3 linked regions of the Mus musculus genome follow. The protein of the gene in region 3 interacts with the protein of the main gene of each other region in a biochemical or structural test. Links are inferred from orthologs where the notes say so. Each region holds a gene or a part of one and is shown on either strand. Other genes may lie near its edges.

Region 1 (3,650 bases), on a different chromosome or scaffold from region 3:
GTTCCTGTGGGTAATAGCCCAGGCTGGCCCATCCCAGTACTGTCCATCATCTTGTCTGTCCATCTGCCTATCATTCTATCTAAACATGGCGCTAAAACCCGTGTGGAGATATACTTCAGTCCCAGTGCGCCAGGATGGCTTGTCCATCCCCAGGAAGCTCCTCACTCGGCTCCCCAACTCTCTTATCTCTGTTTCCTTTCCCCACAGAACAGCTGGTAAAAAAAAATTTAAGAAAGGAAAAAAAAAGAAAAGAAAAGAAAGAAAAGCCACCACCATGAGTGGGTTACAAATACAGCAGGCAAAATCCACGGCGAGCAATGGTGGGATGGGGTTCCTCCCTCACTGGCCAGTCAGCAACCAGTCTCTTATTTACACTGTTCACAAACCTTGTGCACTGCACAATCAGAACGAGGCGCCCCTCCCCAGAAACAACAATGTCTACTCCTGCATCTCCCCGCCCCCCATCCCAGAGTGGGGCGGGGACAGGTCAGAGAAGGGAGGAAGAGACAGAGACTTATGAGGATGTCTGTGGGAGAAACGGAAGCAGAAGCCTCCAGAGAAATCTAATTGAAGCATCTGCCAGCACTGGTTAGGGGGAGAGGAGAAAGTCCTTCAAGTCTGTCAGACACATCAATCCACGAAGGGGCGTGCGTCCTCTCCACCTTCTGGAGGGCAGCCCCACAATGCTGCTCCCTCCTTCTGCCGTCCTCGGGGCCTGGCCAGCATCTCCCTGTCAGGGCCACGTGGGTGTCTCTCCCAGAGTTTGACAGGCCTGTTAGAGTCCTTGTTCAGTAGATGACCTCGTAAACTGTGGCCTTCTTGTCACCAGAGCCTGTTACAATATATTTGTCATCCGCTGAAATGTCACAGCTCAAGACAGATGAGGATTCTTTTGACTGGGGGAGGAAGACATGGAGAAACAGGAAGACATTTAGTGTGGGGAGAAAACAGACAGGAATTCTCCCTGGCACTTCAGGGCTCTGAACGAAATCGCATCCTACTCTCCGGCTCAGGCTGAGCAGGTGCTGGTAGAAAGAGGCCCACTTCCTCTGCGGCTTGGAGTCCCTTCCTCCTGCCTCTTCATCTGGAACACCTCCTGAGCTGGCTGTAGTAGGATCTTCCCCAGGTTTAAGGATGAGAACAGGACACTTAGCATAAGCATCTCTGCTAAGTTTACTGATGGGAAGGAGCGCTTCAGAGCCACAGCCGCAAGAGACAGACCCTTCATTCAGCCAGGCCAGCTGGAAAGACTGGTCCTGGGTTTGCAGGCCCTCAACAAAACTAGAGACTTTCCAAGGGACACACGTGGCACAGGAAGCTGAAGAGTGTGTGTGTGTGTGTGTGTGTGTGTGTGTGTGTGTAAGAGCAAGAGTGGTTGTAAGAAAAAAGTGATTATAAGTTGCACCAGGGAGAGAGGATTGAGTGTGTCTGAAATGGAGAGGCTCTAGATCTTTAAATCTGTAGAAACGCATGTCCATTCTAGCCCCCTCATCACACTGATGGCTTAGGGTGGCCATCCTGACCTCAATGGGTGTCAGTGGGTGAAATGGCTACTCCACGGGCCCAGCTGCCCAGAGCCAGCCAAGCTCACTATTTTACGCACCAGGTGCCACATGAGTGAGTCCCTTCCTAGATGCTCTTACCCTCAAGGATTCACAAGCCTTTAGCAACAGAGGGTGTGTCTTTATCTGGTCCTCACATCCTTCCCTCTGGGGTCCGCCATCTAGTAAGGGCTAGTGGGGGTAGGGGTTAGTAGGTCTGCTCCTAGCTCCAGACTCCTCCTGTCCTGCCTCCGGCTACCCTCAGCCCAACTGCTGTGGCCGCATCCCGACTCGGGAGGAGTGGGGAGGAAAATCAGGAGTGTACCTGGAAGATGCTGGCTCCATAAGGCGTCCTCCAGGCATTGAGAAGGTTGTCTTTCCCAGTGCTCACAAACCACTTGCCTGCAAGGCAAGCAAAGGAGCCCTCAGACTGTGGCTCGCTGCCTTGTGCAGCAGGACCCAACCCAGCTGTGTCTGCCCCGCGTGGAAACATCCTCAGACATGCTTGACCACGGTTTTAGTGTTTGCTGTTCTCCACTCCTGAAGAGCAGTTACAAGCATGGCACACAGATACCTAGAGGATGCCTTCCCCTGCTGCCCAGAGGGAGAGCCAGAACAGAACAAAATGCAATTAACTGTGTTGAGCATGTTTCCCAAAAAGATCCCTGCCAAAGCCACTAAAGTCAGCTAGTCCTTCCCAGTCTATGACCAGAAGGTGGAGAGAGCACCAGAAACAGCCAAAGACCAATAGTCAGAGAGGACGTTCCTCCAAGAGCGCTCCTAGCTGTGGCTCCTAACATCCCCCACAGCCACGTACTCTTCCCAGACAGTTTCTCTGAGGCTAAGAGTTGGCACCATGTGTAACCTTCAGAGAAGATCCAGGTCAACATGGAAAGCCTACTGTCCTGAGAGTTTAGTGTCCTGGAGTGACATCCATATCTAAGACAAGGGTGGGGGACAAGGAAGGTACTTTTCTCCTCCAGGACATTAAAGGAGCATAAGCTTGGCTGACTCAAGACTGTGGGTCCCCTACTTCCCCACTGTCTACTGGACCAGGCTCCCCATGCTGGCTCTCATGCCAGGCTAGGGCTTCAGGGCTTACCACAATAGGCGAACTTGAGGGACAGCACGCAGCTCTCGTGCAGGTGCAGCTGGTATTTGTCGGGCTTAGTGTGGTGCAGGACCTCCACATTGCTGCTCTCCATGCCCACGGCCAGCCACTCCCCAGTGGGGCAGTAACCCAGGGAGAAGATCTGCAAGGACAGACAGTTCAGTGTCCCTCTACCCGCAGGGCTGGAGCAGCCCCTTGGGTAGGGTTAGAGCCTCCTCCCTCCTCCCTCACCACTTACAAACAAATCCGCTAACCAGCTGTCTGTTGCCCCTACCCGCCACCCCAGGATGTCATTTGTATCCCATTGAGGAAGCTGGCTTTGGAGGTTGAGCAGGAGGGGCTGCAATTCCCAGGCCCTGAAAGCTATGCTCAGCTCACTCCCTAAGAAACTGGCAACGACTATACTCCACATTATGGTACTGACTGTTAAAAGGATGAAGCAAGTCTAACAAGCAAGAAATATCATGGCTCATGGGCGAGGTTCACAGGAGGCTTGAGTCAGGTGCCCACCCCAGAGCTGGGAGGGAGCATGCGCAAACTGCAGAGCACAGGGAGCAAGCTGTGGACTTAGAATGAGTTGGGTGTGTGCCCATTTCTGAGGGCATGCATGCCCAGTCTACACCACTGCTGCTGCTTACAAGCAACCTTCCCGGATTGGCTCGGGCTGGTCCCTTGGCAGTCAATCATGACCCTGTGTGGTCACTCTGTCCCCTGACAGCTGCTGGGGCCCAAGAGGAAGCACACAGTGCTTGGGTTACACACCTGGGAGGTGAAATCGTGTTGCTGTAACTGCCGTCCTTCACGTAGGTCCCAGGAGCGCACGGTGTTGTCCAGGCCCCCGGTCCACAGCTTAGTGCCATCATGAGAGATGTCTATACAGCTGGCCCCATCTGTGTGGCCCTGGAACTGCCTATGAAGGCCAAGCAAGGAAGAAGGGTGAGCCCCAGAGACTGCAATCATCCCAAGGACTGGGCCAGCTACGCAGCCAAGCTAGAAGG
Region 2 (3,650 bases), on a different chromosome or scaffold from region 3:
TGAGCCTTGGTTCTGTGGACTCCAGCCTTAGTCTCAGCCAGCTGCTGGCCTGGCCTCGGGGCTGGGAATAGCCTCCTTCCTCTCCAGAAAGCAGCCTGCCAGGATCCCTGTCTGGTCTGAGCCTCAGTCCTCTCTCACACCCTTCTCCTTCCAGAAAAAGCTCCCTGTGTTGCTGCTGGGTCACTCAGCAGACCTGCGGCCTGGCGAGTTCGTGGTGGCCATCGGCAGCCCCTTTGCCCTGCAGAACACCGTGACAACGGGCATTGTCAGCACTGCCCAGCGGGATGGCAAGGAGCTGGGTCTCCGGGACTCAGACATGGACTATATCCAGACCGATGCCATCATCAATGTGAGTGCTGTGGGGAAGGCTGACCTCGGCAACTTCGGACCAGCTTGTGCCCTGTCCTATCATACAACACACCACCATCTAGGAAGGCCTTTGTTATCTCATGCAGAGCATCCACCCACCCAGTGACTGTCTCCAGGGATGGGCCATCTTGGACAGTTGCAGAGATGAAGTGGCCCAGGCATACCCTTGGAAGGTCATAGCCTAACCTGCATAAGTTGTCACTTGACTAAGATTAAGGTTATATTGGATGGCACCATGACATTCTCACATCTCCAAGCCTGGGTGCCTTGGCATGTACCCCTATGCCTGCCATGACTGGTAGCCTGGTAGCTGGAGCCATTCATAGCTGTAGAGATGACACTGCCTGTCTTGCAACTGCCTAGCAACTGGCAAGTTGTGGAAACATGGAAGCACAGGGTCTGGGCAGAGTCCTGGAGGGTCAGTGGGATAGCTGCCTGCCACTGTCTTTGGGTTGAGTATCAAGGCAGTAGAAGTCCATTCTGGTGACCTGTCTTGTCACTGACTGGAGTCAGTGGTGGGGAAAGAGCTTGGGGACCACTGGGGAGTTCACGGCACAGCTAACAGTGGTTTTCTCCTTTGCAGTACGGGAACTCAGGAGGACCCCTGGTGAACCTGGTAAGTGAACCCTAAAGTGCAGTGTCTGGTTTTCTAGGCTTTGCTTACACAGAGGCACAGGCTAAAGATAGGGACAAACCCTATACAGCCCTAGGAACTGCAGTCAGTGGTCAGTAGTGTGGCCATGTTGGAGGCCCAGGAAGACCTGAGCCCTAGGTCTATGATGCCTGGAATCCACAAGGACAACAGAATAGTGGTCAGGCTGGGGCCATGTGCTCCCCCATGACATCGGGCAATGGGGGCACAGATCAGGTTGTTACTGCCCTGGGCCTTGCTATCCTCAGTTATAATCGGAGGTGAGAGAAGAGACCACACCCATGAGTTCTATAACCCACACTCATTCCAGAGTCAGCCTCAGCATCATTCTGGCTGAAAATTTTCCAGAACAGGGCAGAAGATTCAGCTGGGATCCCAGGCTCTGAGAACTTAGCGACAGAGTGGTAATATGCACACGAGGAGGCTCTGAAGAGACACGGCCCTCACCACTGAGATAGAACAGGGGCTGGAAGCATTTAGTGAATGTGTGGAGATGAAGGAATGGGTGGAGAAGGATATGCCAAGGACAAGACACAGCACATGGGAGCGCTGCTGGGGCTGGAGAAGACAGCCATGGGGCAGCCCATGGGCTGGGACAGTGTACCCTGGCACTCAGGTGACTTGCACAGGTGGCTGTCTCCTCCACACTCACGATTCTCCAGGCAAGGCTGCTGATGGAGAGGCTCATGTGGTAGGGCTAAATTCTTAACTTTCTTCTCTAGGCCCCAACAAGTTCCCTGACAAGCTGGTAGTGCCCTGGCTGGGTTGTCTAGGGCAAGCATCCTGCACCCCTCCCATGGTCAGGCCTTTGGGAGGGGTTCTGCCCAGGAGTGGGTCCCTTTGACTGGGGCAGCTCCTGGTCTGGTGGCATTGGCTCCATGAAGCAGGGCAGGGTGGGAGCTGAGCTCCGAATGGATTATGAGCTGCTGCCGTGGCCCTGCTCACTGGTCTTTGCTTTCATAGAAAGGGACAGAAGGGGTCCAAGTCTCTGATGGGGATAGATGGTGTCCTGAGTGCAGTGGACACTGCCTCCTAGGGCAGAGATGCTGGAGCTGGGGAGGCAGGAGCAACCCGATAACTTTCCTAGATGCCCTTTCCAGGGGGAAGAACAGAGAGATCCCCAGGATTTGGTGGTACACAGGGTGGGGCACTCAGAGAGCCGTGGTTACAGGAGGGCATCTCAGTGGAGCACTGACAGCCAACTCTCCCTGGAGAGAGTGCTCTTACCCTGGGCTCGGCAGCAGTCTGCGGTTTGCTTGCACTACTCCAAATAACCCCACACTTCTCTCTCTCTGCCCAGGATGGCGAGGTCATCGGCATCAACACGCTCAAGGTTGCAGCTGGCATCTCCTTTGCCATCCCCTCAGATCGCATCACACGCTTCCTCTCTGAGTTCCAAAACAAGCATGTGAAAGGTAAAGAACTCTCCCGAGGGGCAGGTAAGACAGGATCCCCAGGATGAGGTCCTGCCCCACCCATGTGAGCCAGGGCCCAGCTGCAGGAGCTATGTATACCATGTTTACTCCTAACTAGGTCTGTTATCCTCCCCAGACCAGGAGACCCCAGGCATCTCATTTGCAGCTTCTCTTAGGGCCTTCCTCCAGGCCTCTCAGCTCATGAACAAAATCATCCTCTGCTCCTCCAGACAGTTTTTCCCCCCAGGTCCTACCATCCAAACTTGGATTCCTGGGACTCCTCTTAGTTGGCAGAAAATTATGTTTCTTTCCTTCCACCCACCTGTCCACCCACCCATCCATCCACCATTCATCTACCTCCACACCTAATCCTTCATCTATGCATTCATCTGTTTATCGACTCCTCAATCTAACCATTCATCTGTATGCCAACCCACCCATCCATTCTATTACCATTCCATCCATTCATCCATTTACCTACTTGTCCACTCAACTTCCCACTCATCTATACACTCATCAATTTATCCATTCACCCATCCATTATCTATCCATCTACCCACTCACCCATCTACCCATCCATCCACCTATCCATCCACCCATCCATCCATCCATCCATTCATCCACCCACCCACCCATCATCCACCTATCCATCCATCTATTCATCCATCTATTCATCCATCTATCTATTCATCCATCCATCCATTCATCCATTCATCTATCCATCCACCTACCCTTCCATCCATCCATCCATCCATTAATCCAGCTACCAGTCTTCCCATTCATCTATATATTTACTCACCTGCTCATTCATCTTTTCGTATATCCATCCATTTATCCATCTGTCCATTCATTCATTTATCATCCATCCATTCACCCATCTATCCATTTACCATTCATTCATTCATTCATTCATTTATTTATCAATCCATCTATCCATCCATCTACCCCCATTCGCTGATTCACTCATCCACCAATCTACCCATTCATCTATCCATCCTCATATCCATCCTCCCATCTATCCACACACCCACTCACTCCCCTCAATCTGCCCACACATCTACCCATCTACTCATCTGCCCATTCATCCCTCTTATCCTTTCATCTATCTACTCATCTACTTGTACACACCTCCAGTCATTCATCCATTCTGTCACTCATCCCCCCATCCATTCATGCACCCATCAGTCCACCCATCCATGATTCATCCATTGACT
Region 3 (3,750 bases):
ACAAAATAGTGGGTTATGTTAGTTTCAAAATTACATCATGTATTTTGATCAAATTTTAACATTTTCTTTGATATGCTCAACAAAACAAACAAACAAGCCCAGAGCCCTATACATGGTAAGCAAGTATTTACTGTACTACATACACCAATACAATCTTTACAGGCATAACCTTTTAAAAATAAGTTTAATCCAAAATGATTCTGTAAGTTAGATTTATCTGTATGTCAAATTTGATATCTGAATTTCATAGTTTCTACACTATTTGATAATCAGGAAGCTTATTCTTTAAAGATAAAGCCAAAGCTTTTTAGCATTTCTCATGAATACAGAACAGTAGGTAAAAGCCAAAAGAGAAACATAAATACAGACCTGTTCTGTGAAGACGAAATAAGCCATACTGGATTTTACAATAAAAATTACTGATAAGTGGATGTTCATAAATACCAATTGCAAATACTTATGTTGATATACATCTATGTGAGCTTTAAAACTTTCTAGAATAAGATCAAACTTGTTTATAATATTCAAACATGTAAGGCACAGGAGAAAAGCAAAGTTTAGTTTTCCATCCGTCTTCTTCAGAAGTAACCAGGGTTACCATTTTTTTTTATCTCTTTCATGGATCCATGTGACCCAATCCAAACAGCTATATAAGCTTATGTTTCTGTGTCTGTAGGTAGAAATCTATCTGACCTAAAATGTTTTCCATTCTTAAGTTATGGGGAAAACAATCCCTGACTCAAGTTTCACATACATGTTTACTACACTGAAAATGACAGAAATGTTAAATAGAATATACTTAGATATTTGCTTAGAGGTTATATTGAAGCAACAGGAGTGGGGTGGCCAGGGAGCTAGAAAATCTGAATTCTAATCTAACTAGCATGGCTAGCATGGTAACCTTACACAAATCATGAAACCCTGAGCCTTAGTTTCTGCTTTGTAAAACAAAAGAGTTGAGCTGAGATCCTTCCCAGCTCAAAAATGCTATAATTCTAAGATGGCCGGCTCTTAACAGTGTTCTCTTGAAACTGGCTACAAAAAAAAAAAAAAAATCCTATTAAGGAGAAAATGAGAAGAATGAAGAAACACTGTAGAACTTTCCAGTCTTTAAAAAAAAAGACATTTCTAGGATTCATTCACTATCAAGGTATAGCTAGGATGTCAGAAGTAGTGCCATAATTGTACTTGAAGGTAAAGTTGTAGATTATTACAAACTGATAGGTTTAGTCTTCCCCAAGGCTTATGTTCTCCTTTTTGGAGATGGAGTGAGCCACTGCTTAGTTTCAGCAATCACCACTCCCTTCCTCCCTCCCGCCCCTGCTTAAAAGAAAAACACCCCACAACTCAAGTAAACTGTGGAGTTCAACGGAGTTAAAGTAATGGAACTGAAAGTCATAAGTGACATTTTTTTCTCTCAGAAATATGCTGGGGAAGTGACCAAGGTGACAAAGAGGCAAAAATTACCAGCTACTTCCTCCTCTGGAAGCTCTTTGGCCCTCATTCTTTAGGGTTCACATGCCCTTGCCAGAAACACACCACCCTGCCCCATACAAGGTATCGAACTGGGGGGGGGGGCAGGGAGGTTGATCAAATCTTTTTTTTTTTTTTAATTATTTTAACTAGATTTACCTTAGGTGTCACGAAGTTTAAGGAGGCTGACCCGAAGGCTTGAAGCCAGCCCCCCTACCCACGGCTTCCAGGGGCAATCCCGGGGAGCCTGGATAGGGAGCCCAGTCCAGCATTCCCCGCGGGCGGGCGGGCGCGGCCTTCCCGCCCAACTAGGCAGAGCTAGCCCAGGCGGAAGGGAGGGGGAAGAAATGGAGGGAAGGAAAAGGAGGGAGGGAGGAGAAGGGGGGGAGAAGGAAGGAGGGGGGAGGAGGAGGAACGCGGGAGGAGGGAGGAGGAGGGAGGGAAGAGCAGAGCAGAGGAGAGGAGAGGGAAGAGAGGGGAGGGGAAGGGAGGGGAGGGGAGCAGAGGGAGAGGAAGGGAGGGCGGGAAACCCACAAGAGCTGTACCCACCGCGCCAAGCACTCCAGTCCTAACTAAGCGCCGCGGGCGACGGGTTCCCGAGGGGAGGGTCCCGGAGGAGGGGCGGCCCGAGCCCGGATCAGGAAAACACAACTCTGCTGGGCGGCGGGCCCCGGCCTAGGAGAAGGAAACGGAAGTCACTATGTCTGTCTCCCTCCCTTCCTTCCTCCCTCGGCCTTCCCAGGCAGGACAGTCCCATCGGATAAAACTCGAAGACCGGAACCAAGTGCATCCACGTCAGGACTTTTAAAAAAAAAAAAAACTCAACCGGTGCAGCCCGCCAGCTTCCCGGGCTCGCCCAGCCACTGGCCTCAGGCCATGTCCTTCCCACCGCCACCCCCATCCCCTCCCCCGGGAGCTCCGCTCCCGCCCGGCAGAGCCCCTCCTTCTTTCCCACTCCGCCATCTTCCAGCCTACCTCTCTGGCCGAGCGGCCCTCGATTAGCGTCGCGCCCGCTCGGGGGACCGCCAAGGTCCCGCCGCCTCCCAGAGCCGGAAGGGGACATCGAGAAAAACCCCAGTCCTCATTATGCAGCCCAACCCCCCCCCCACCCCCCAACCCCCGCCTCCCCAGCTCCAAGCCAGAGCCTGACCCAGCGGCTGCACATGCGCACAGGTCACTTCTCAGTCCCCGCCCCCGACTCAAGCATTTCCTCTTTTAGCATCCAGGACTTTTTCTCTCCCCCCTCCCCACCGCCCCCCAGCTTTTACCTGGACTCTAGGGTGAGGAGTAGGGGAATACAGGTAAGAAGATTAAAGACCAAGGGGAAAAGGGCACAGTACATTGAGCTCTCACAGGATACCAGGGACTCTGCTAGGTATATAACATATTCCTCAATGTTATTTTGAAAACCATGGAAGGCAGAACACCTCTATTAAATTCCACCCTACAGAGGAAACTGAGCCCCGGAGAAAATAATTATCCCAGTATCACCCACCCGACAAAAAAGTAAACTGAGATTAGAGAATCGGTTGTTTCCAAATAGAGGAAGCTAGAAGGAATGACGAGACAGGGAGACAAAAAGAGGGTGAGAGAAATTTGTGAAGAACAAAGAAAAATAATAGAACAAAGATGGAAAAGACACAAGAGAAGATTATACAAAATGGTGATCATGCTATATGCTTGTAGGGTTGTCAGATAAACCTATACTTAGGTTTCAGGAACTTTGACTCTTAATGGCTAGTGTACTAAGATGGATTGGGTATATTTAAAAGGAGAAGACCATGGGCACCATCTGCCTGGTTAAATAATGCTGTCCTTGATGAAAAGGAACTTGGAAGAGAAGACAAAGAAATGTATTTGGTTCTTCAACTTTTGCCAATGTAATATTCCTTCTAATGCAATCTTTTTTAAAAATTATTACATTGTCTTACTGTATGAGGTCAGAGGGCAACTTGAGTCTGTTCTCTCCCAGCATGTGGGTTCTAGGGAAGAACTAATGTCCTCAGATTTGGTGGTGATGCCCTTCCCCACTAAGCCATCTGTGTCCCAGGCCCCCTGGGGTGTACTCTTACAGCTCTGAAAATTGCATCTGACTTATTACAATGAAGGTAATTCCAAGCGAGGGCTGGGAATGAGGCTCAGTAGTAGATCACTTGTCTAGCACATACAAGGTTGAATTCAAACCCCACCACTGCCAACAAAACAACTGCAAGCAAATACTGATCTCACCTGTCCAGCACTCTTAAATAAGCAAACCAACAAAGCTCCATCTTTATC

The links.
Region 1: of the proteins of Xiap (region 3) and Tle3, one has a biochemical effect on the other in vitro, tested with the Homo sapiens proteins (2 studies listed by BioGRID). The link is inferred for Mus musculus from reciprocal best matches to the Homo sapiens genes XIAP and TLE3.
Region 2: of the proteins of Xiap (region 3) and Htra3, one has a biochemical effect on the other in vitro, tested with the Homo sapiens proteins (3 studies listed by BioGRID and IntAct, with this or other methods). The link is inferred for Mus musculus from reciprocal best matches to the Homo sapiens genes XIAP and HTRA3.

What each region holds. Positions count from the first base shown.
Region 1 is NC_000075.6:61,413,855-61,417,504, reverse strand, and holds part of Tle3 (transducin-like enhancer protein 3), read right to left. Parts: intron 3,563-3,650; coding exon 3,415-3,562; intron 2,795-3,414; coding exon 2,644-2,794; intron 1,944-2,643; coding exon 1,867-1,943; intron 897-1,866; coding exon 789-896; 3' UTR 1-788. UniProt on the Homo sapiens protein: Transcriptional corepressor that binds to a number of transcription factors. Inhibits the transcriptional activation mediated by CTNNB1 and TCF family members in Wnt signaling.
Region 2 is NC_000071.6:35,662,749-35,666,398, reverse strand, and holds part of Htra3 (serine protease HTRA3 isoform a precursor), read left to right. Parts: intron 1-154; coding exon 155-349; intron 350-952; coding exon 953-985; intron 986-2,321; coding exon 2,322-2,436; coding exon of another isoform or gene 2,437-2,460; intron 2,461-3,650. UniProt on the Homo sapiens protein: Serine protease that cleaves beta-casein/CSN2 as well as several extracellular matrix (ECM) proteoglycans such as decorin/DCN, biglycan/BGN and fibronectin/FN1.
Region 3 is NC_000086.7:42,066,755-42,070,504, reverse strand, and holds the start of Xiap (E3 ubiquitin-protein ligase XIAP), read right to left. Parts: upstream 2,670-3,750; 5' UTR 2,449-2,669; intron 2,355-2,448; exon of another isoform or gene 2,149-2,354; coding exon of another isoform or gene 2,023-2,148; exon of another isoform or gene 1,633-2,022; intron 1-1,632.